Sus scrofa: one gene and its partner. The protein of the gene in region 1 purifies or fractionates together with the protein of each later gene. This does not show direct contact. Links are inferred from orthologs where the notes say so. Each region holds a gene or a part of one and is shown on either strand. Other genes may lie near its edges. The genes, in order: SOST and LRP5.

Region 1 (12,131 bases):
GTTGGGTTTATTACCATTGAGCCACAACAGGAACTCCCTGTACACTCTTATTTTAAAGGTCCAGGCTGCTTTAAGGACCCCACCTGTAAAATGAGACTCAGGAATGATAATCACAGTGTTTTAACAGTTTGGTATCCAGGTAATTTTTGGCGTCTGCTCGGGGTGGTACAGTGTCAAGGATATCCCAACATTCAGAGCTAACCAAGGAGGGGTGTCTGCTGCTCCCTTGCGTAATTTTATGGTTGTGGACATGCCTGAGTCTAGCTGTGAAAAAGACAGTCTCTGACCTATATAGTCTGCTGAATTGCCAACCCATTTATAAGAAGTTGGGGAGTTCCCATTGTGGCTCTGTAGGTTAAGAACCTGACATAGTGTCCCCGAGGATGTGGGTTCCATCCCTGGTCTCACTCAGTGGGTTAAGGATCTGGTGTTGCCAAGAGGTGCGGCATAGGTCATAGATGCAGCTCTGATCCCATGTTGCCGTGGCTGTGCGTTGCCATGGAGGCCCGCAGCTGCAACTCCAATTCTGATTCAGCCCTCCCTGGGAACTTCCATATGCTGAAGGTGTAGCCCTTAAAAAAAAAAAAAAAAAAAAAAAAAGAATCCTCAGTTTCCATGAATGAGAGATGGGGGGCTTGGGAGCCAAGTGGAGAGTGAAGCAAACTTACCCCTGAGGTCTCTTTCAAACACTCTACAGTCCCGAGTCCCGGGAGCATAACTTACTTTCCAAATTTGGCATGTTCTTCAGAGTCTGGTCCAAATGCCACATCTTCCCAGATCCACCCCAAGGGTGTTCTCTTCTCTAAAGGCCCATAATAGGACTTGCCACTGTGGCTCAGTGGCGATGAACCTAACTGGTATCCATGAGGGTGAGGGTTCCATCCCTGACCTCGCTCAGTAGGTTAAGGATCCGGCGTCACTGTGAGCTGTAGTGTAGGTCACAGATGCGGCTTGGATCCCAAGTTGCCTGGCTGTGGTGTAGGTCGGCAGCCATAGCTCTGATTCGACCCCTAGCTTGGGAACTTCCATATGTTGCAGGTGTGGCCCTAGAAAGCAAATAATAATATTAATTAATTAATTAGAAAATAAAAGGCCCATTACACTTTGTTCTTTTATTTTTTCTTAATTTTTCAATTTTTTGTCTTTTTAGGGCTGCACCCTCAGCATCTGGAGGTTTCCAGGCTAGGGGTCGAATCAGAGCTGTAGCCACTGGCCTACACCACAGCTACAGCAATGCCAGATCCAAGCTGTGCCTGAGAGCTACACCACAGCTCATGGCAACGCCGGATCCTTAACCCACTGAGCAAGGCCAGGGATCGAACCTACATCTTCATGGATACTAGTCAGGTTTGTTTCCGCTGAGTCTCGACGGGAACTCCCAATTGAAATTGTTTTAACAGCCCAAGCTTGGCATTGGCAGCCTTGCGGAGAAACATGCTATTATGTGTTGAATTGTGTTCCTCCAAAATTTATATGTTGAGGAGTTCTCACTGTGGCTCAGCGGGTTAAGAACCCAACTAGTATCCATGAGGATGTGGGTTTGATCCCTGGCCTCGCTCAGAGGGTTGAGGATCTGGTATTGCTGTGGCTGTGGTAGTTCCCTAGCTTGGGAACAACCATACGCCTCAGGTGTGGCTCTAAAAAAAAAAAAAGGGAAAAAGAAAACAATATTCATCTATTATTCCAAGTACCTCAGAACATGACCTTATTTGAAAGTAGGGTTGTTGCAGGTGTTGAGATGAGGTCATCAGGGTGGGCGCTAATCCAACGTGACTGACGTCCTTATAAAAACGGGGAAATTAGGAGTTCCCATTGTGGCGCAGGGGAAACGATCCTGACTAGGATCCATGAGGATGAGGGTTCGATCCCTGGCCTCGCTTAGTGGGTTAAGGATCCAGCATTGCTGTGAGCTGTGGTGAAGGCCAGTGGCTACAGCTCCAATTCTATCCCTAGCCTGGGAACTTCCATATGCCCCAGGTGCGGCCCTAAGAAGAAAGGAAAAAAAAAAAAAAAAGCAAGGAGAGGTCATCTCTGCGGTCACAAAATTGTTCTTTGTTTTGGCTGTGATGGTGGTTACTTGAACCAACCCACACGATAAAGTTGCATAAAACTAAACACACACACACACACGTACAAATAAAACTGGGGAAATCTAAGACCAGTGCATTGGGTCGATGTCAGAACCCTGGGTTTTGCAAGATGATACGAGAAAACTAGGCAAAGGGAATAGGAAATTTTCTCTGTATTATTTCGTACAAGTGCACGTGATACGATGACCACAAAATAAAAGGTTCAATTCAAAAAACGACTTTGTCCAAGGATGTTCACAGCATCCCTATGGAGGATAGGGGAGCCCCCTAAACTACCCACAACAGAAATAAAACCCTGGGAGTCTAATTCCAGGGAGTATTGTCTAGCTCTGAACATTGCCACGTTTGCGGACTGAATAAATATAAAGCTGAATTAGTGTTAAGGGGAAAAGCAGATGGCATCATAGTAAATTCTCTCTGAGACATTCTATGGAAAGCGTGACCATTACCTTGGCAGAGAGTAATTCTAAAGGATGGAGATAAGTTAGAAGTTCAAGTCCACTGGATTCTTCTTTTTCTTCTTCCTCTTCCCCTTCCTCTCCTTCGTCTTCTTCTTCTTTTCCTTCTCCCTCCCCTGTGCTCTCCCTAAACATTACTTCAGTTTCAAATAAAATAAATGAAATCCTGAGCCCTGCCGTCCTCTGGTCGCTGGCTCTTCCTCCCATCTCCAGCAGGTGGCAGACGTGTTCCAAGGATGGTCCCCACCGAGTCCCTTTCCTGTGGATGAGCCGCAGATCCCAACAGCAGGTGGGGCTCCAGCATCATTCTCACCAGCTCAAAGACTCCAGACAGCGGAACTGCCCTCTCCGAAGTCCAGGGCAAGAAGACAGTTGTCTGGCCGCAACAGGGTTAATGGCTCACATTCCAGAGCAAGGAAAAAGGAGGCTGGAGGGTCACAGACAAGGGGAGGGGGCTCGCAGGGCCCCCTTTCTCACAACACAGGCCAGCTCTGCTGGGAGAGATAGATCACCCCCAACAATGGCCACAGCTGTTTTCGTCTGCCCTGAAGGAAACTGACTTAGGAAGCAGGTATCAGAGAAGGCCCTTCCTGTAGGGGCTTCTGTCTGGCTTGTAAAACTGTCAGAGCAGCTGCATTCATGTGTCGAGTGATGGATGATGGAAAGGAGGGACAGACGGCCGCAGATGGACACAGCGACTTACAAGTCGAGGCAGGTGGCAGAGGCGTTGCCGAGGCTCTGCAGGTGGGGTGCGCTGATTCATTGCCCAGTGAAAATACCAAGGGGACCTGGGCCACGGCCCTCTTCCCAGCCTCCTCCAGGGCCGGGAGGGGCTGTGCCGCCTCAGACAATACATCTGCAATGAAAGCTTCCGCCGCCGGCCCTCCTTCATTTTCCTGCACCTCAGGTGTGAACCTGCCTCCCCCCGGGCCTTTCTTTCTTCTCCAGGGCCTAGGGAGCAATTCCTTTTGGGTTCTCTGTGGCTGGCTGGACCTGGGGTGGCTTCACGGAATGTTCCCTGTACTCTGCACCGATAAGGTTTTCCATAATGGCCTCAGAGCTCGCTTTGAAAAATGTAAGGGGCTGGGAGACAAGAAAAAGAACGTTAGCACTAAAAATGCTGGCTTTCGCTTTTGCTAAGAAAAGGAATTTTCTGCTCTCTGCTCCTTCCCACAGCCTGGCCCAGGGAAATAACTGCCTTTGGCACATTAGCCCGCCAAGACGCGCCTGTCACCAAATGCAGGATTTCTGAGAAGCATGAGCTAAGGTTTCCTCCTTGTCTCCATCACCAGGGCCTGCTGACTGTGCATCCTGGCCTTGAACCCAGAACCCCTGCTCCCTCCACCAAGCGGGAGCGCTGGCTGTGGCCTTCTGGTTTTCCCTCTTCCCTTCCAGAGGACACGAGTGGCGCTTTCTTGGTCTGGATAATTGATGCCGAGCTGCATGGAGTTGAGGGCCAAGGAGGTTTCTTAAAAAGCATCCTCCTGCGTCTGCCGGGATCTGGGGCAGGGGAAGGGGGTGGGGGGAGGGACAGATACTCGTAGACCCCCGAGACAAATGAACTTGGTCTGAGACATGGGATCAGCTGGGCTGAGACCTATGGAGGACGCAGAGCTGCCGTTTTCTTTGTTAAACTGGTCCAGGTTGGTTTTGAGAAAGCCCGAGGGGCCCAGAGAGGTGGAGGCGAGGAGCTGGAGCTCCTTCTGATATCTGAAAACCACAGGCGCCTGCGCGTGGGAGGGAGACACGGAGAGCAGGCTCGTCTGGCCCGCCCCCTCGCTGTGGGTCACCTGGGAGCACCAGCCGCACTTTGGGGAGATTTCTGAGCCCGAGGAGAAGTCTTTGGGGGAGGGCCTGCTCTGAGCACACCCCGTTCCCTCCCCCTGGGCTGAGGGAAGCATGGGACCAGCCCTGCCCCAGCCTGTCCTCATTGGCTGGCACGAGGCAGAGGGGGCTTTAAAAAGGCAAACGTGGCCAGGCTGGGGACCAGAGCCTGTGCTACTGGACGGCCCGGTGCCCTCCTCCGGCTGGCACCATGCAGCTCTCGCTCACCCTGTGTCTCGTCTGCCTGCTGGTACACGCAGCCTTCCGCATGGTAGAGGGCCAGGGGTGGCAGGCCTTCAAGAACGATGCCACGGAAATCATCCCTGAGCTGAGCGAGTACCCGGAGCCTCTGCCAGAGCCGAACAACAAGACCATGAACCGGGCAGAGAACGGAGGGAGGCCTCCCCACCACCCCTTCGAGACCAAAGGTATGGGGCGGAACATTTGTAGCATAAGGGTCCTGGGAGGGTTCTCTTTGGGTGGGTTTTTTTTTTTGTAATTTTATTGGCGTGTAGTTGACTTACAGGGTTGTGTCAGTTTCAGGTGTGCAGCGAAGTGATTCAATCATACATATACACGCATCTATTCTTTTTCCTTGTCCCATATAGGTTATTAGAGAATAGTGAGCAGAGTTCCGTGTGTTAAACCGTAGGTCCTCTTTGGTTACCTATGTTCTAGCTTTGATGGGGGTCGAAGACCAGGGTTGACACGCTGGGGTACACTGGGAGCCACTGTCAGCACCAGCGGAGGGACAGTCCTACCTGGAAGTAGGGGAAGGATGGCATGCCAGCGTAGCCTTGGATTTCAAGTGCCAGGGTGTGGGACGGGCAGGGGACTGGCAGTGAGAGCCCAGAGCAGGAAGGGGGCTGAGGTGGTGAGGGTACAGCCTGGGGACAGGCTCAGGGGCTCAGAAAGGAGACTCCAAACACTCCTCTCCTGAGAAGAGGGGAACCAGGGTCCAGCTGCTGACGCCACTGGAGAGGGGACAAGGCAGGGGAGCCTCACGTCTATGAGCACCTGCTGGATGCAGACACCATTTGGGCTGCACCCGAAATGTACCCCCGGAGAACTCCCAAGGTGAAGGTGAAGAAACGGAGGCTTCAGAGATTAAGTGGTTTGTCAGCAAGCAGAGAACTGAGATTTGAAGCCACTTGGATCCCGTTACAAGTCAGCCCTGGCAGGGGGTGGGGTGGGGTGGGGTGTCAGGGCCAAAAGCAGGAGCAAATCTCCACCAAGTGGTGGGAGATACCAGAGCGGCATCCTTCCAGCTCCCACCACCCCTGGTCTAGCCAGTGAGCTGGCACCAGAAGGCATGGGAGCTGCAAGCACAGTTTTAGCTTCTGACCTGGGGGGCAGCTGGGTCCAGGCCCTGGACGGGAGGCAGCATCCTCTGTGCAGGGCGTGGACACAGGTGGCCCCATCTGTCCTAAAACCTCACCCCAGACCCGGCCTTGCTTCCGCCCTGGGAGGGAGGCTGACCCTGGTAGAAAGGCAGTGACCCCAGCAGAGGGCGCACCTGGGTTCCTGGTCAGGTCCACACGGAGAAGCCTGGGGGGCAGTGTGCACAGCTGGCCCTGCAGCAGGTGGGAACTGCTGGGGGCAGGGGCCAGGATGGCACTTCAGAGTGAGGCCCTCTGGCCATGGTCCAGGTGAGAGAGGGAGTCCCCCTTGCCCAGGCTCCAGCATTCTGCCCTGCTTCACCACCAGCGGGGACTGGGGGCTCTGCACAGGGCACCCCCAGATAAGGCTGGTGGAACCACCCATCTTTAAAGGGGGTGGGTAGGAGTGCCTCTCCTCTGCTCCTGCCCAGGGAAGGTCAACTAAGCTCAAGTGATGGGCTCGAGTACAAGACGCCACCTCCCTGGGCTCCTATGAGAGCCACTGGCCCAGAGGAAGCCTCGTGCTCAAAACAAAGTCACCCTTTGCAGAGGAAGAGCCTGACCTAGGGGTACTATTCTTGGAAAGCCCCACAGCCTCCTTCCCTGGGCAAGGAGGCCGCCCCCACACACCACCCCTGCGGCTTGGGAGCAGGGATCAAGATGCCAAACCCGCCCAGAAACCAGAAGGCCAGCCACGGGAGGAGGGCAGCCCCCACGTCTCTCCTGCTGTGCTTCTTCTCCCAGGGCTGCGGCCCTGGCCTTCTCCGCCTCCTCTCTGGTTTTGGTCTTAGGACTATTTTTCATTGCTTTGTGTCACATTGGAACTGTCCCTATGAGACCCTTGGAGATGAGCAGGTGCTCACATGAGGACCAGCCGTGTAAAAAAGCTCCCAGGGGTCTAAGCCCACAGTGGGAGACACAGTCAAGGTGTCTCAGGGGGATCAAGCCAGGCCTTAGAGCCCAACCTTCCCCCAAGCAGGGGGCAAGCCTGTGTCACCATCAGGTGTCCATCAAATGTACCCCCCCCCACCCACACACACAAAGATGGGCCTGGCAGAGTGCCTGGTACACAGCAGGTGCCTAATACATGTTTGCGGCAGCTGCAGCTGTAGGTTTCCAATCAGAGCTTGGTCTGTCTCTGATAGGGAGGTAAAGGCAGTCAAAAAAATCAGCCCTTTGTCCCCTGACCGTCAGCCTAGCCTTCCATGGGCTCCAGCAAACGCCCTTGTGGGAGCTGAGAAATACTGAGGCCCCAGGGGCGCAGAGCCGGGAGACGAGCTGTGCCTTTTGGGCAAGTGCTTTCCCCACTCTGGGCCTCAGTGACCACGGCCGTCATGAGGGGCCGGGCAGGCCGCCCTTGCTCCTTTCCCGTCTGATGACTTCAGACTCGGCTGCACCTCCCCTTCCATCTCTCTTCTCAGCGGCTGCCCTGATTTAGTACCTTCAATCAGCCCCGCTCCTTCCTCCATCCCCTCTGCCAGCCCTCCCAGCCAGAAGAGGAATCTGGGAGAAGCCAAAGCCATTCAGAGAGTGAGGCCAGGGACCCTGTGGCACAGATGTGACTTACCTCTGGCCAAGAGGGCCCCCTGGAGAGGAATAATAATAACATACAAGAGCCAACACTTCTAGCACTTACTGTGTGTTAGGCGGTGTCCCCTGAAATACATACATAATGGATTCATTCACGGAATCCTCAAGACCAGCCATTTTACAGATAGGAAGCACAGAGAGGTTAAGTAACTTGCCCAAGGTCACACAGTGGTGGAGCCCATATTTGACCTTGAAGCAGTCACCTGACCCCAAAGTTTTAGGGGGACAGGGTGGGCCAGAGAGCTTTCCCCCAGCTCCAGAGTACCCGGGCCCTTCGCGCATAACAGATCCCCAGGGGCCAAAGCGTCCAGGGAGAGGGCAGGTTTGGAAATGGCGAGGGTGGCTTGGAGGGAGCCCGGCGGGTGGCCCGACTGGGCAGCCGCCCTGACGCGCGCGCCTCTCTCCGCAGACGCCTCCGAGTACAGCTGCCGCGAGCTGCACTTCACCCGCTACGTGACGGACGGGCCGTGCCGCAGCGCCAAGCCGGTCACCGAGCTGGTGTGCTCGGGCCAGTGCGGCCCCGCGCGCCTGCTGCCCAACGCCATCGGCCGCGGCAAGTGGTGGCGCCCCAGCGGGCCCGACTTCCGCTGCATCCCCGACCGCTACCGCGCGCAGCGGGTGCAGCTGCTGTGTCCCGGAGGCGCGGCGCCGCGCGCGCGCAAGGTGCGCCTGGTGGCCTCGTGCAAGTGCAAGCGCCTCACTCGCTTCCACAACCAGTCCGAGCTCAAGGACTTCGGGCCCGAGGCCGCGCGGCCGCAAAAGGGCCGGAAGCTGCGGCCCCGCGCCCGGGGCGCCAAAGCCAACCAGGCGGAGCTGGAGAACGCCTATTAGAGCCAGTGGCGCCGCGCCCCGCACCCAGGCGCCCCAGGTTTCCGCCCCCCTGCGCGCGGTTTGAGCGTTTGTATTTCATTTTAAGTGCCTGCAACCCAGGGCCGGAGGTTGAGACCTTCCTGGCTGCAGCGGGAGGGAGCCAGGCCCTGTGGATCCCAGGTGTCAGCAAAGCCCCCCCTCTTCTCTCCCTCCTAGGGGGTCCCGGGGCAGGGGAGGAAACTGAGTCACAGACACTGAGCCACGTAGCCCCGCCCACCGGGGCCGCCTACCTTTGCAGGTCCCACTTCGGAGGAGGCAGGAAAGAAAGCGTTTCACTGCCCTGGGGATTTAAGGGAGCAGTAGGGAGTGAGAAGAGTCCAGGGACTGGTTAAGAAAGTTCGATAAGATCCACCCCACCCCCCCAGCTCTCTGCCAGTCAGAAAGCCTTTAGTGCCGTGTTGTGCCCAGGACTGACTTGCCGGGTGACCTCTGGTTACGCTCTTCTCTTCCCGGACCTCGATTTCCTCTTTATAAAATGGAGATGGAGTGAGATTAGCATCTGGAAGAATCTACTGTCCTATGAGTCCCTTTGAATGGGCAGAGGAGAGAGAGCTTGGATTGAATCACTGATATTGTCGCTTCCAGCATTTGGAGTTGTAATCCTCTGATCTGACAGCCAAAGATGAAAAACAAGCAGGAAAAAAGAAAGGAGTCTATTTCTGGCTGACTAACTCGGGGAAGAAGCTGTGGTGTGTCCTAGGCTGCTCTCCCCAGATGTTTGGCTACCCCCACCCCTCCATCTCAAAGGACCCAGAAACAACAGCATCAAATGGGGTAGAGAAGACGGTCCCAAGGGTGGTGGGAGGCACAGAAATCGCCCCCTGTTCCCAAAGAGCAGCCTGCCACCCCATGGCCATGTTTTGTCATCACTTTCTGCAGAGAGGAGAGCTCAAGGACCCATACCCTGGGCTTGCCACCGCCCGTTCAAACACCAGCAGGTCCCTTCCGAGGTACCTCCTCCTGCCTCCCACCCACGGAAACATTTCTGGCTGGAAAAGAGCTTCTTACTGCTGTTACGTGGGATGGCATATCTTATATTAAAATAATATCATTGGGGAAAAAATGACAAGTGCTGTATATATGCTGAGAAACCGCAAAGCTTCATAGCTGCCATCCAAAAATCTTTTTGGAAAATCATTTCCAGACACCACTTACTTTCTGTGCAGTTTTCATTGTTACAAAAAAAAAAATTTTTTTTCAGCAGAAGCACGTGCCATGTGAAAGCCTACCCAGCTGGTTGTTTTTGCCATCTTTTCATGTGGGATTTGTCCCCAAGAATGAACATCACAGTTTTTAAAGAAGAGTTAAGTTACCTATTTATTTTCTCACTTAAGTTATTTATGCCAAAGTTTTCCTTGTAGAGAAGGACAACATAAATATTGCTTTATGAAATACCCGTCTGTTCTTTCAAAACCCAGAGGCATTGTTAATAAAGACCATGAAGTGACACGGAGAGGATGTGATCTTGTTTTGTCAACCACATGTGGTCATTCTTGTCACCGTTAACATCTTTCTCTTGGTCCCTGGCGCTTAAACCTTGGAGGCCCCCTTTGACAGGGTTATGGTAGCCCTTGTAGCAATTATGTCCTTCCTTTGAGAGGTCAAGTTCCGTCCCTTCCTTTCCAAACCCAGACTTCCTCCCTTTATGCAGGCTGTTGTATCAGCCTCAGCCTGCTCTCCCGTTAGCAGCTTGCCCGCCCCAATGTCTTCTCCAAACACTGTTCTCCCCACGTCGATACCCCTGCTCTCCATCCCCCAGTGGTTCCTCCTTGCCCAGGATCAAGTTGACAAGTAAGGCTGCTTGATTCCCATCCCCCATTCCACCAATCTTCCTTAATGACCCCCAAGTGGCCAGAGCTGTCCTGATTCCGGCCCCCTGAGCTGACACCCCCCACAACTCCTGCTCTTTCTTGGGGGTTCGTCTTCTTTGTCACCTCTTCCCTAAAACTTCCGGAGATGCTCCAGCCCCTGCTGATGCCTCTCTCCTCAGCCGTCCAGCCCCTTTGTTCGTATCGTTCCTTTCCTTCCTGACTCTGTGTCTTCCATGCAACATCCATTCGTGGGTCACCTGTCTCGCCCGGCCAAGCCGTGCCTAGCACTTGGAGAGACACAAAGCCAAGTACGCCTTAGGACCAAGCTCGCTGGAGTTCAGTCAAGCCTTTTCTCCAGTGTGAGTTTTATGCTTCCCTGGTGAAAAGGTAAACTCTTCACAAGCAAGGGCAATGTCTTGTACTTCTCTCAAAAGTCTTGAGAGGGGGTTCCTATCGTGGTGCAGTGGAAAATAATCCGACTAGAAACCATGAGGTTGCGGGTTTGATCCCTGGCTTCACTCGATGGGTTAAGGATCTGGCATTGCTGTGAGCTGTGGTGTAGGTCGCAGACATGGCTTGGATCCTGCATTGTTGTGGCTCTGGCGTAGGCTGGTGGCTACAGCTCTGATTGGATCCCTAGCCTGGGAACCTCCATATGCCACGAGTGCGGCCCTAAAAAGCAAAAAAAAAAAAAAGTAGATAGATGAGATTACTGGAGTTCCCTGGTGGCTCAGTAGTTTAAGGATCAGGGCACTGTTACTGCTGTGGCTCAGGTTGCTGCCATGCTGTGGGTTTGATCCCTAGACAAGAACTTCCATATGCTGAGGGTGCAGCCAAAAAAAAAAAAAAATTTTTGTCTCATTTAATAGGGCTGGATGCCAGCTGAGACTCAAGAAATATTCTTCCCTTTCCATAAGGAGGGATGAGCAGTTGCAAAGCTTTGAATCAAGTCCAGCCCATCTTGGGGTAAACCCACCCCCCCAAAATAAGCTGAGGTCCTCCCCATGACTTTCCCTTTAACTCCTGATGAGCCCACCTAAGTTCATTACCATCATCCATGAGTCTTTGATAGGTGTCAGTGGGTGCTGCTGAGGAGCCTCTGCAGGGAATCCCAGCGTGTCCCAGAGCCCAGAACACGAGGGCACATAGGAAATGGATACACTGCCTAGCCCCCGGGGGCAATGTGGCAAGCTGGGTGGGACACGGGCTCTGGGGCCAGGTATGTATTTGAATCTGAGGACACAGAGGCACCAAGGGGTTAAACGTTTTGCCCACAACCAGACGTGGGCTCGGTTCCCCGTCCCAACACGCTCTTGAGCTGCTCAGAGCCTCGTGGGCACGTGGGCAGATGATCAGGTCCCATCGTTCTGTACAAAGGGTTACAGGGACCAAGGATGGCAATAATTGGTTCTGCAGGGGGAACGAGGGATGGAGAGGCTTAGGGAGGGTTTCACGAAGGTGGGAGCTGCTCAGAGGTTCAGCAGGTGAAGGTGAGGGGAGCAGGAACATTCTAGGCAGAGGGCACGGCCCAAGCCAAGGCACTGAGGCTGAAGGTTCGTGGGTGGAGGAGCCTCAATTCCTTAACATGTAGTGAGCCCCACCATGTGTGAGGCAGCATCAGGGAACCCAGGATTCAAACCAAGACCCCTACTCCAGCCCACTGCAACCCAAGCCACTGCAGTCAGCATCATAACCCACTGCACGGCAGCAGGAACTCCTCCGTGTAATTCTTAACAGCTCCCACATTTATTCTCAAAAATGTCCTGGTTTGGGCAATAAACTATATACACCTGGGGTCTGCTGCTGGGACCCTGAGTTCCAGAAGAGATGAGCCCAGGCTGCAGTCCCATTACCACGACGGGAAAAAAGCGCAAAGGCTAAATTGTAGGGTCGGCGAGAGGTTATTTATGGAAAGTTATATTCTACCTACATGGGGTCTGTGAGCCTGGCGCCGATCAGAAAGGGAACAAACAGGCTCGGTGGGAGGGGCAGTGTTCTGCTGCGGGAACATATGTTCCGGGGGCACAGCCAGAGGCAGGGCTTGTATGAATAGTCTGAGGGTTAGACAGACGGAGGGTAAGACAGATGGAGGGGACAGAAGGAAAGAGG
Region 2 (11,548 bases), on another chromosome or scaffold:
AGGAGCAGAGCCTGGTGGATTCCTTTCATCCCACTCTGAGCGCAGGTGACTGTCACTCTGAGGCCTTTGGAGGAACGGGATGTGTTAATTGCCGGACCGAGGCTTCCCTGCTGGGAACGTTGCTGGGCGCAAATTGCCTGAACGTCTGTCGTCTGTCTCTCGGAGAGGCGGAGAGGCGTTCTCCTGCGTCCTCTTATGGTGTCTGGCAAAGTCGGGGAGACTTTGAAGAAAAAGCCCCTTTAGGGGCACTTAATTTGGGAAACATTCATTTCCATCCCTGCCTCTCTTGTTAGAACTCCATCCTCTGGGGGCCTTAATTCTTTATGGGGGTCACCACCCGGCCCCCAGGCATGATGGTCTTGACTCTATAACTATTTGGCTGTTGTTTTTTTTACTTCATTGTTTATTCTTTTGTGGTGGAATATACATGACATAAAATTTACCATTTTAAACCTTTTTTTTTTTTTTTTTTGGCTACATCTGTGGCAGGCAGAAGTTTCCCCCCCAGCCAGGGATTGAACCTACGCCATGGCAGTGACCTGGGCCACTGCAGTGACAATGCCAGATCCTTAATCTGCTGAACCACAATGGGAACTTCCATTTTAAACGTTCTTTTTTTTTTTTTAAGGGGTGAACCTGCAGCATATGGAAGTTCCCACGCTGGGGGTCTAATGGGAGCTACAGCTGCCAACCTATGCCACAGCCACAGCAATGCCAGATCCGAGCCGTGTCTGTGAGCTCATGGCAGTACCGGATCCTTAACCCACTGAGCAAAGCCAGGGATCGAACCCACAACCTCACGGTTCCTAGTCGGCTACATTTCTGCTGCGCCACAACGAGAACTCCCATTTGAAACATTCTTTAAGCGAGCAGCTCAGTGACGTTAAGTCCATGCATATTGTGGCGCCACCATCAGCTCCATCCAGATGAAACTCTGTGCCCATTTAACACGAACTCTCAGAGTTCCCGCTGTGGTGCCACGGGATCGGCAGTGTCTCTGGAGCGCTGGGATGCAGGTTCAGTCTCCCGGCCTGGCATGGTGGGTTCCGGATCTGGCGTTGCCGCAACTGCAGCTTGAACCTGATCGCTGGTCCAGGAATTCCATCTGCCTCGGGGTGGCCTAAAAAAAGAAAAGAACAAAGCAAAACAAAAACCACTAACCCTCCCTTCCCCCCGCCACCCCCACACCGGTCCCTGGCACCTGCCGTCCTCCTTGCTGTTTCTGTGAGTTTGACAGCTCTACGTACGTCATTTAAGCAGAATCACACAGTATTTATCTTTTTGTAACTGGCTTATTTCACTTCCTCTAATGTCCTCAAGGTTCGTTGGCACCATAGCACGTGGCAGAATTTGCTTTTCCGAGCAAAGGAGGCCACAGCAGGCTCATGCGCTGAAGACCGCACCCTCTTTGGAGAGAGGAGGAGGTGGTTTTGAATCTGACAGCGCTAACGGCCTGAACGCAGCCAGAACACAGACTGGAATGTGAACCCACCTGCCGGGAGTCAAACCCAGCCTAGAACCAGATTGGGACAAACCCACGGTTTTTGTCTTTTCTTTTTAAGGCTGCACTTGCGGCACGTGGAGGTTTCCAGGCTAGGGGTCGAATCAGAAGCTGTAGCCATCAGCCTACACCACAGCCACGCCAGACCCAAGCCGCATATGTGACCTACACCACAGCTCACAGCAAGGCTGGATCCTTAACCCACTGAGCACGGCCAGGGATCGACCCCGTGTCCTCAGGGGTGCTAGTCAGATTCGTTCCCACTGTGCCACGATGGGACCTCCCAAACCCACAGTTTTAAATTAAAATCACTCACCCGGTGTCTGGACTCACTGAGGTTCAGGGTCTTTATGTCTTTGCGCAAAGGGATTCAGCGAGAGACAAAGCCACACGCAAGAAAGAGATTTATGAGGATGGGATGCTTGGACGAGAAGCAGGCGGGCAGGCGCGGAGGCGCTGCTGAATTTGCTTCCTCTTTAAGACCAACACATGGTGTCTGTGCAGCACGCGTTTTGCTGGTCCATCGACCTCAGCGGTGGCTTGGGCTGTGCCCTCCTTTGGGCTGGAGGGAGTCTGCAGCCGCAGGCTCGCCCACAGGCTAAGTGCCGCTTTGCACTGGCGAGGGGGAAGGGTGTTGAGCGTGCTGATGGAGAGGGTTCTGCCCCGGTTCGGCCCTGGCCGGAGGCCTGTTCCTTGTGTCAGAAGCGGGGTCTGGCTTCTCTGAAGCCGGCCCAGCACGTGCAGTCTGTCTCCCGGTTTCTCTGCCTGGCAGGGCGGGGGCGGTGTGTGGCTCCCCTGGGCACGTTTGTCAGCTGGTTGTTCTGATGACTCTGTGCCCAGCTGCCCCGTTACCCGCCCTGCAGTCCCGCGTCCGGCCAGGGCGAGCTGCAGTCTTGCTTTCCGCCCAGCCCGTTGGCCGCCCTGGGCTGTGGTCCGTGACTCCAGGGCTGTGCCTGCTTAGAGCTGACGTGTGGCTCCTTGGGGCTGCGCACGTCGGTACGTGCAGAGATGCGGGTGACACTTCCAGCTGCCCAGTGGGGCTGGACCAGAGGCCGCTGTGGGCGGGGGCTGGAGGGGGCTGTTCCTCTCCAGATGGGTCCAGGAGGCTGGGCCTGGGGAAGGGGGCTGCTCTTTGGCTGCCAGCCCCCTCTTACCCCCGGGAGATGCCTGGTATCACCTGCTGGAGCGAGGTGTAAGTGGAGAGTCTGCTCTGACCCCAGCCTCACCCTGAGAGGCTCCCTCCTCAGAGCAGGGAGCTCTTCACCAGGCCATTGGCGGCGGTGGCCCAGCAGCTTGGGAAGCCCTTGGCACCAGGTCAGGCCACGGGGACCCCAGGGGACCAGATCCACCGGGGAATCAGGCCCAGGCCTGTGAGGAGAGGAAGCTCTGGGCTCTCCTGCTGCATCAGCTCATGAAACAAGGTCCCCTGCGAAGGGGACTCTGCCAGTGGCTCCGGAAGCCGGGCTCATCCCTGCGAGGGCGGATGGCCAGGAGTCAGGCTGCGCCCCTGGGGGACCCGCAGGAAGGTGGCGAGGACTGGCCTGAGAGGGGCGCGCTGGCCCTGGGCTCCCAGGATGTGCTGTGGGCAGTCCCCACCCTCGCCAGGCCTCCTCCCCGTGGCCTCTCTCCCTCCGGGAAGAGACTTGTATGAAGTGGCCCTCTGTGTGGCACCTGCTGTTCTAAAGCCTCAGCTTAAGTAACAGTAACATTCGAGTCTTAATCCCAAAGCCTGAGTCCACGGAAGCAAGGAGAGGGAAGGTGTCTTGAGCTGGGGCCCATGAACCTGGGCTGACGGCTCAGCGGGCAGGCGGGCCCCTGTGCTGCAGGGACAGGCCGGTCTGGGTCGGGTGGCGGCCAGCCCGGCCCAGTGCAGTCCCTGATGGCTGAGCCTGGGGTCCGAGCTGACGGGCGGGAGCTGTCCTAGGAGTCAGTGTCGCTCCCACATGGCCGTTTGGGCAAGAGCCGGTTTGAAAGGACAGGTGCCCCGTGGGGGGCTGACCTTTGGTCTGAACGCGGCCATCGAGGGCTCTGCCCTCCCTGTGGTGTCCTTAGCTGGTGCTCGTGTCCCCCTGTTCTGCAGCCCTTCGTTCTGACCTCTCCGGGCCAAAGCCAGAGCCCAGACAGGCAGCCCCACGACCTCAGCATCGACGTCTACGGCCGGACACTGTTCTGGACGTGCGAGGCCACCAACACCATCAACGTCCACCGGCTGAACGGGGACGCCATGGGCGTGGTGCTCCGGGGGGACCGAGACAAGCCGAGGGCCATCGTCGTCAACGCCGAGCGAGGGTACGGGGCCGAAGGGGTGGGTGGGCACCGCAGGGTGGGGTCTGCACTGGCTGGGGGGGTGCCCGGCGTCCGTCCCGTGAGCGGCAGCCTCTCGAGCCAGGAGGGCTCTCCCACCCGACGTGCCCGTCCGCCAGGATCTCCCCCGGGTTCCCGCCACAGCAGCTGGGCGGGTCGAGGAAACACTGACTCTTCCCCAGTCTTGGCGGGGAGTCAGAGACCCCGGGATGGCCTTGACTGAAAGCCTCTGCAGGGGCCCGGGCTTTGCTGAGAAACACAGGAAGGTTGTAAGTCCTCGTTCATGGGTTTCGTACCATCCCATCAAACTTGAACCCTGTACAACCACCCCTTCCAGGCGGTGGTGGACTATTTACTTGCATATGTCCCACCGCGGGGAGGTCACTACCTAACTGGGAGCTCCTTCCTTCTCTGAAGCTCCCTGCTGCTCCCACCGTCAGCCCTCGGGTGCCCTGGTAGGCAAGAGAGCGCCCGGGACACTTTGATGGATGCCGAGGCTCCCAAAGGGGAAGACCAGGATGGGAGGGGACCCAAAGCCACATGACATGGGGTTCAGAAATAAAGCCAGTCACAGGAAGGTTTGGGGACAGGAGCAGGAGCACGGTGGCCACCTCAGGTACCCGCAGAGCTGACACTCAAGGCTGGAATCAGACCCGTCCAGGCACTGCATCAGCTCTACAGAGCCGAGTTCAAATCCTGGCCCCATCACTTACTGCCTGAGTGACCTCAGGCAGGTGACAAACCTCCCAGGGGCTCATTTTCCATGTGAAGACAGTGGTAGAGCCAGCCCCACAGCACACGAGGGCCCAGTCATTTAAGGGGGCTCTTCAGCAACCAAAGCATGGGAGCGAGGACTGGTGCCTGGGGCCGCCGCCACAAGTGACTGCAAACCGGGGATTTAAAACAGCAGGTGTTTGTTCCCTTGTGGTTCTGGGGACTGCAGTCAAGTGTGGGCGAGGCCGTGCTCCCACCTGAGTCTCCAAGGAGGAAGCTTCCTGCCCTCGGCTTCTGGGGCCCCAGCCGCTGCTTGGCCTGGGCTCGGGGCCGCATCCTCTGAGCCTCCGTCTTCACGTCAGCTTCTGTGTATGTGTGGCTGCTCCTCTCTCTCTCTCGAAGCCACTGTCACTGGTTGAGGGCCCCATCGTAACCTGGGGTGGGGCCTCACCTTGTCCTAAATCACACCTGCACAGACCTGGTTTCCACATAAGGTCGCGTTCTGAGGCTCCGGGTAGATGCAAGGTTGTGTGGGACACTCTGCAACCCCTCCAGGGTGTGACTTTTTCAGCTCCGGGGCCCTGAGAGGCTGGGGCCATGTGATGGGTGACGGAGCCCCGCTGGGTGCCCCCAGGGCTGGGGGCAGGTCTGTCCGGGGCTTTGCGCGGAGCTCCGTCCGCAGCAGCATCCCTCACCCGCCCCTCCCGCAGGTACCTGTACTTCACCAACATGCAGGACCGGGCGGCCAAGATCGAGCGTGCCGCCCTGGATGGCACCGAGCGTGAGGTCCTCTTCACCACGGGCCTCATCCGCCCCGTGGCCCTCGTGGTGGACAACGCGCTGGGCAAGCTCTTTTGGGTGGACGCAGACCTGAAACGCATCGAGAGCTGCGACCTGTCAGGTACACGCCCTGGGGCCTCCCCGGGGATCCGTCCCTCGGCAGCCACCAGGTCTGACCCACCAGGGCCCTCCTGGTCGTCAGTCACAGGGTGGCAGCGGGGCCCGTGCTGGGGCTTTACCACGCATAGTCCCCCCCGTGCGTTCCAGGTCCCAGATGATCCCCTGGGCTCAGAGAGGCTGAGCCAGCTGCCCAGGGCCCCACAGCGTGGGGTAGAGGAGGAATCCTACCCTCTGCCTCTCGTGCCTGTTCTCGCAGCTGCTCTGGTGTGGAGGCCCCTGGGCTGGAGAGGCGTGAGAGTCAGTGCTTGGAGGGGCTTTTCCTCCAGAAGTTGGGGGGGAGGGGGCTGAGGGGAGGGAAGCACCCTGTTTTCAGGGGGCTAGTGACTGCGCCCCAGATTTGGGTTATGGCCCTGGCCCCGAGGCCAGCCCAGGTGGGAGCAGGAACATCCGAGGAGGGACCTCACATCTGCCTGATTCCAGGGACTGTGTCCCAGCCCCAGCCCCCCCCGTCCTCCCAAGTCAAGGGAGGGCCGAGCTCTCGGAGTCAGCTGCCACTCAGGGCACGCCGTCCCTCCTGCAGGGGCCAACCGCCTGACCCTGGAGGACGCCAACATCGTGCAGCCCGTGGGCCTGACTGTGCTGGGCAAGCACCTCTACTGGATTGACCGCCAGCAGCAGATGATCGAGCGCGTGGACAAGACCACGGGGGACTCGCGGACACGGGTGCAGGGCCGTGTCGCCCACCTGACCGGCATTCACGCCGTGGAGGACATCAGCGTGGAGGAGTTCTGTACGTGGGGGGCGGCAGCAGGCGGCGGTGTGTGCAGGGTCCCCGGGGAGGGTGGGCGCCTGCACGGAGCACATCGCCCCCCGACCTGGTCCCCTTGGAGAAAGACAGGAGGTTGAGCCAACGCGAGAGTTGTAGGATTGAGGCCCTGTTTGCGTTCTGGCTTTCAGCCAGGTCCACTCTCAGTTCCCAGAGGCCACCCTCAGGCTCTCACCGTGTGCTCCCCGCCCTCAGCAACAGAGCAAACCCCTCTGGCTTCCTTTTCTACCACCTGGAACCCGCCCTGCGTTCCAAGGGCCAGAGATTAGATTCCGGCCAGTTTTCAGATTAGCTTCCCTTTGACTGATTAGTAACCTTAATTACATCTCTCAACGCCTCTTGCCAAGGAAGGTAACAAAACCCCAGACACGATAGCTCATCCCAGCTGGGGAGTAGGGTGGGAACTTCGGGGGTCATTGTAGGAGTCTGCACTGTGCCCACGTGCCTGGGGGAGGGTGGGTGTCCCCCAGGGACCTCTGGTCCCTCCACCCCCTCTGTATACGGCCATACATGTGTTTAGAGGCAGGTGGGCATACATGTATGTCTGTCCCTCTGTCTTCTTGCTTTTCTCTCCTCGTTCCGTAAATACACCTGGGCTGCCAGCTGGGTGAACAGGGCCTTTGCTGTCCTTGTCCTGTGATACCCACTGTCTGGCCGCCTTCAAGGCCCGGGGGGCTGCCCCCCATCCCAGCCCAGCCCGTCACCTTGGCCTCCCACCTCGGCCACACCCCCGAGGTTTTGACTGTTCTGCACGCCAGGCCCTGTGCCCAGTATATTATGACGTTATGTGTGTTATTTCACAATAATTCTTTTACGGTTGAGGGAGGCAGGGCTCAGAAAGGGTGTGACGCCACCCTGTCACCCAGCCAGTAAACACGATGGGGCTTGGATGTGAGGCCAGAGCCCATGTTTTAGGCACTGGGCTTTTTTCTGGGCTCCCTGCTCAGAACTGGAGTCAGGACCTCTAATGCTGTGAGTCTGTCACCCCTGGGTTGACTGCTAGAGGGTGCTTTCTGCCCCGTGGGTGCTCAGCTGGGTCCCAGGTAAGAGAAATCACTGGACGACCAGCTTCCAGGGAACCGGGGCCCGCTGTGCCTGTGGGTTAGACGCCTGCGTTTACCTGCCCCTCACACCATCCTCAGCAAAGTCCTGGATTCCTGTGTGTCCCTGGCAGATGGTCAAAACAGAGATGCTGGTCCCACAAATGCTGAGACCACTGCCTGCTGGTGTCGCTGAAAGCCAGGCAGCTGCGCAGAAGCTCCTTGGAACTGAGGGGGCAGGGGGGCCAGGAGACATTCAGGGAGCAGGTTTGAGGCTGGAAACCGGGGATGTGTCCCCGAGCACGAATGTGCAGGGACTAGGGTGACAGAGAGAGGCTCTGTTTGGGGCAAGGGCGGGAAAGCCTTAGGATGTGTGTCACCCGGCCTGCTGCCCTGCAAGATCCCACAACTGGACTCTGGACCAGGGTGGACAGTCGGTGTGTGTGTCACCCTGGCTGCCTTTGCGAGGCAGCTGGCTGACTTGTGGAGTCGTGACAGGTGGCCTGGCTCGTGAAGCCAAAGTTACTTTCCGATTCTTTATGGAAAATGTTTGCTGGCCCTACTCTAAACGATGACTCTGCCATTTTCCATTTATTTATTCATTTATTTATTTTGGCTTTTCAAGGCCGTAACTGCAGCATATGGAGGTTCCCAGGCTAGGGGTCTAATCTGAGCTGCAGCTGCCTGCCTACGCCACAGCCACAGCAACACCGGACCCTTAACCCACTGAGCAAGGCCCGGGATTGAGCCTGCATCCTCCTGCATACGAGTTGGGTTCCTTACCACTGAGCCACAGTGGGAACTCCAGATTCCTCCATTTAAAACACCTAGTTGTCAAGGTTGAGGGGGAGTTTGACAACACTGATTTGTCTCTGGGGGTGGGAGCGAGGGGCAGAGTCATTTCCTCCCACCTGAGGGAGGTCAGCCCCCCTCCCAGGCTCCTAAACATTGTCCAGGTGTTGGGCACGTGAGGTTTAATTGAATTAAAATATTCAAGTTCCCAGGGGTTCAGCATCCTTGTTATCTTAGTTCTTGTGTGTAGTAGTCTTCTGCAGTTCCCGTAACAAATCACCACAAACGGGGTGACTTAAAGTAACACGAACATGTTCTCTTACTGTCTGGAGTTCAAGGTCCAGGTGTCTGCAGACTGGGCTCCCTCTGGAGGTTGGGGTGGCTGCGGGGGGGGGGTTCTTTGCGCCTCCCACTTCCTGTGGTTACAGGTGTTCCCTGTGTCTGCATCATTTCAATATCTGCCTCTGTCTGCACATGGCCTTCTCCTCTGTCTCCACTTCTTGTGTCATCTCTCTTTTTTTTTTTTTTTTTTGGCCATACACAAGGCATGCAGAAGCTCCCTGGCCAGGGACCAAACCCATGCCAGAGCAGGGACCCACGCCACAGCAGTGGCAATGCAGGATCCTTAACTCCTGTCATCTCCTATAAGGACATGTGTCAGTGAATTTAGAGCCCACCCAGGAGTTCCCATCATAGCTCAGTGGTTAACGAATCTCACTAGGAACCACGATGTTGTGGGTTCGATCCCTGGGCTTGCTCAGTGGGCTAAGGATCCAGCGTTGCCATGAGCTGTGGTGTAGGTTGCAGACGCGGCTCGGATCCCACATTGCTGTGGCTCTGGCATAGGCTGGTGGCTACAGCTCCGATTAGACCCCTAGCCTGGGAACCTCCATGTGCAGTGGGAGCGGCCCTAAAATAGACAAAAAAAAAAAAAAAAATCCAGAGCCCACCCGGATAATTCAGAAAAGACCCCTCTCAAGATCCTTAGCATCGTTATATTTGCAAAGACTCTTTCCAAATGAGGTCTCATGCGCAGATTCCAGGCAGTAGGATGTGGACATAGCTTTGGAGACCACTACACCGCAAGAGACAGACACCTAGGTAGGCAGCATAGAGTGACAGTTGTGGGCTCAGTGGAAGCTGGCACAGATGAGCTGGGCTGTGACGCTGGGAAAGTTCTCTAAGTGCTTTTGGCCTCCATTTCTTCATCTGCAAAAGGCAGTGTCAGTAGAAACAGGCTACATGGGCTGCCCTGAAAATAAAGTGGGAGGATCTCCTACACTCTTACAGGAGTACCAGTTCTTATGAGTTCTTGCCTGGCCCCCATCCCCTCCATCCTTTGGGCCATAGTCCTGAGATAGGAACCCAACCCTCTCCCTTTTTTCTCTCCACAGCAGCCCACCCTTGTGCCCGGGACAATGGCGGCTGTTCCCACATCTGCATCGCCAAGGGTGATGGAACCCCACGGTGCTCATGCCCAGTCCACCTTGTGCTCCTGCAGAACCTATTGACTTGTGGTGGTAGGTGTGACCTCAGCACTTTCTTTTGGGACACTGAGCAGGGACCTGATTCCTCTGCCTGTGAGGTTGCTGCCAGGCACCTTTTAGATATATATTCCTGGTAGCATACAGTTTCCAAATCAGACTGTCTCTTTGTTTGTCCTCTTTCCTAATATAGGTATATCAGGGCTATGAATTTCCCTCTAAGCACTCCTTTTGCTGCATCCCACAAATTTGGATAAATTATATTTTCATTTTGCTTTTTTTGTCTTTTTGCCATTTCTTGAGCCATTTCCACAGCATATGGAGATTCTCAGGCTAGGGCTCTATTCAGAGCTGTAGCCACCGGCCTACGCCAGAGCCACAGCAACGTGGGATCCAAGTCGAGTCTGCAACCTACACCATAGCTCATGGCAACGCTGGATCCTTAACCCACTGAGCAAGGCCAGGGATCGAACCCGCAACCTCATGGTTCCTAGTGGGATTCATTAACCACTGAGCCACGACGGGAACGCCTATATTTTCATTTTGAGTTAATTCAAATATTTTAAAATTTTTCTCAAGATAATTTTTTGGCCCTCGTGTTATTTAGAGATATGTCATGTGATTTCCAAAGAGTTGGAAACTTTCTAGCCATCTTGCTTCTAGTTTAATTCCGTTGTGATCTGAGCACCTGCTTTGTATGATTTTCATCCTTTTAACTTTGTTCAGGTAATGTTCTATGCCTCAGCATGCTCCACTTTGGGGAATATTCCATGTGAGCTTGAGAAGAACGTGTCCTCTCTTATTGGGCGGCGTGTTCTGTAAATGTCAGTCAGATTCAGTGCTGTTCAGGTTAGCTATATCTTTCCTGACTGTGCTGTCAGTTACCAGTAGTGAATTTTTTTTTTTTAAGTAGTTCTGTCTTTTCACTTCCTTTTACCCTTGGTTCTCTTCTTCCCTAAGGATGCATGCAAAGTGGTCAGGACTGTGAGCTTGGACCTGGCACAGCAGGTTAAGGATCTGGCATTGAAGCAGCTGTGGCACAGGTTGCAGCTGTGGCACAGACTTGATCCCTGGCCCAGGAAATTCCACATGCTGCGAGTACAGCTTAAAAAAAAAAAGAAAAAAAAAGTCTAAGCTTTAGGGTTAGACAGATGTGGGTTCACATCCCAGCTTTGCCACTTCCCAGCTGAGGGACCCTGGGCTGGTTTCTTGCCTCTCTGAGCCTCCACTTCCTTCTCTGTGAAACAGAGAAATTGAGAGCACTCACCTGATGGGGCTGTTATCATTTCACGGGGTACTTCGCGTGGTCCCTGACACTTGGCCCGTGAGAATGCCAGCTGCTGTTAGTTGTGAGGATGTCAGAAGCAATAAAAAGGGGATGAAACTCAATCCCCGGGGGCTTCCTCTCTTCCTCCTGGTCCCCCGGTGACCTTGGATGTGTCGTTTCTCTTATCCCCTCCTCTGCTGAGCTCCTGAGGGAGTCCCTGTCCCTTCTGTCCTCATCCTCACCCCCAGGACCACACTGTGCCTCCCCCCCCACAGCAAATGCTTAGCACATGTCGGAGAGCAGGACCACAGGCCTATCCTTCTGGAACTTTCTACTGCCCCACCTCACACCATGAACCCCAGAGAGCTTAGCCAAGAACAGAAGGGACATTTTATGACTGTCCCCTGATGGGGCCACCTTGACCCTCCTGAGCTTCCTGGTGGCGTCGTTCTGAGTTCCAGCCTGGGGACTCACGTGGCTTTGTGGCCTGAGAATGACGATGCAGCTTCCGCAGATGTCCAGGCTGCCCTGGAGAAGAGGGGCCGGGGAGAGAGCTGCACAGAGCACTCGGCTCCCCCTCGGACCCTGGCCCTGGGCCTCTCCACAGGGGGACGCGGCCCTCTGTCACCTGCTCCCCAGGCTTTGGCCCTCAGACTCTACTGTGTCCCCATCTTCATCTTCCCTGGACTCTCTTCTGGGGCCTCACAGGAGGGTAAGGGC

Evidence for each region.
Region 2: the proteins of SOST (region 1) and LRP5 purify together in Homo sapiens (affinity purification with mass spectrometry; 3 studies listed by BioGRID and IntAct, counting the BioPlex papers as one, with this or other methods). This does not show direct contact. The link is inferred for Sus scrofa from reciprocal best matches to the Homo sapiens genes SOST and LRP5.

What each region holds. Positions count from the first base shown.
Region 1 is NC_010454.4:19,350,698-19,362,828, forward strand, and holds SOST (sclerostin), read left to right. Parts: upstream 1-4,214; 5' UTR 4,215-4,583; coding exon 4,584-4,800; intron 4,801-7,750; coding exon 7,751-8,172; 3' UTR 8,173-9,651; downstream 9,652-12,131. UniProt on the Homo sapiens protein: Negative regulator of bone growth that acts through inhibition of Wnt signaling and bone formation.
Region 2 is NC_010444.4:4,549,727-4,561,274, reverse strand, and holds part of LRP5 (low-density lipoprotein receptor-related protein 5), read left to right. Parts: intron 1-3,581; coding exon 3,582-3,790; intron 3,791-5,229; coding exon 5,230-5,420; intron 5,421-5,999; coding exon 6,000-6,209; intron 6,210-9,471; coding exon 9,472-9,597; intron 9,598-11,548. UniProt on the Homo sapiens protein: Acts as a coreceptor with members of the frizzled family of seven-transmembrane spanning receptors to transduce signal by Wnt proteins.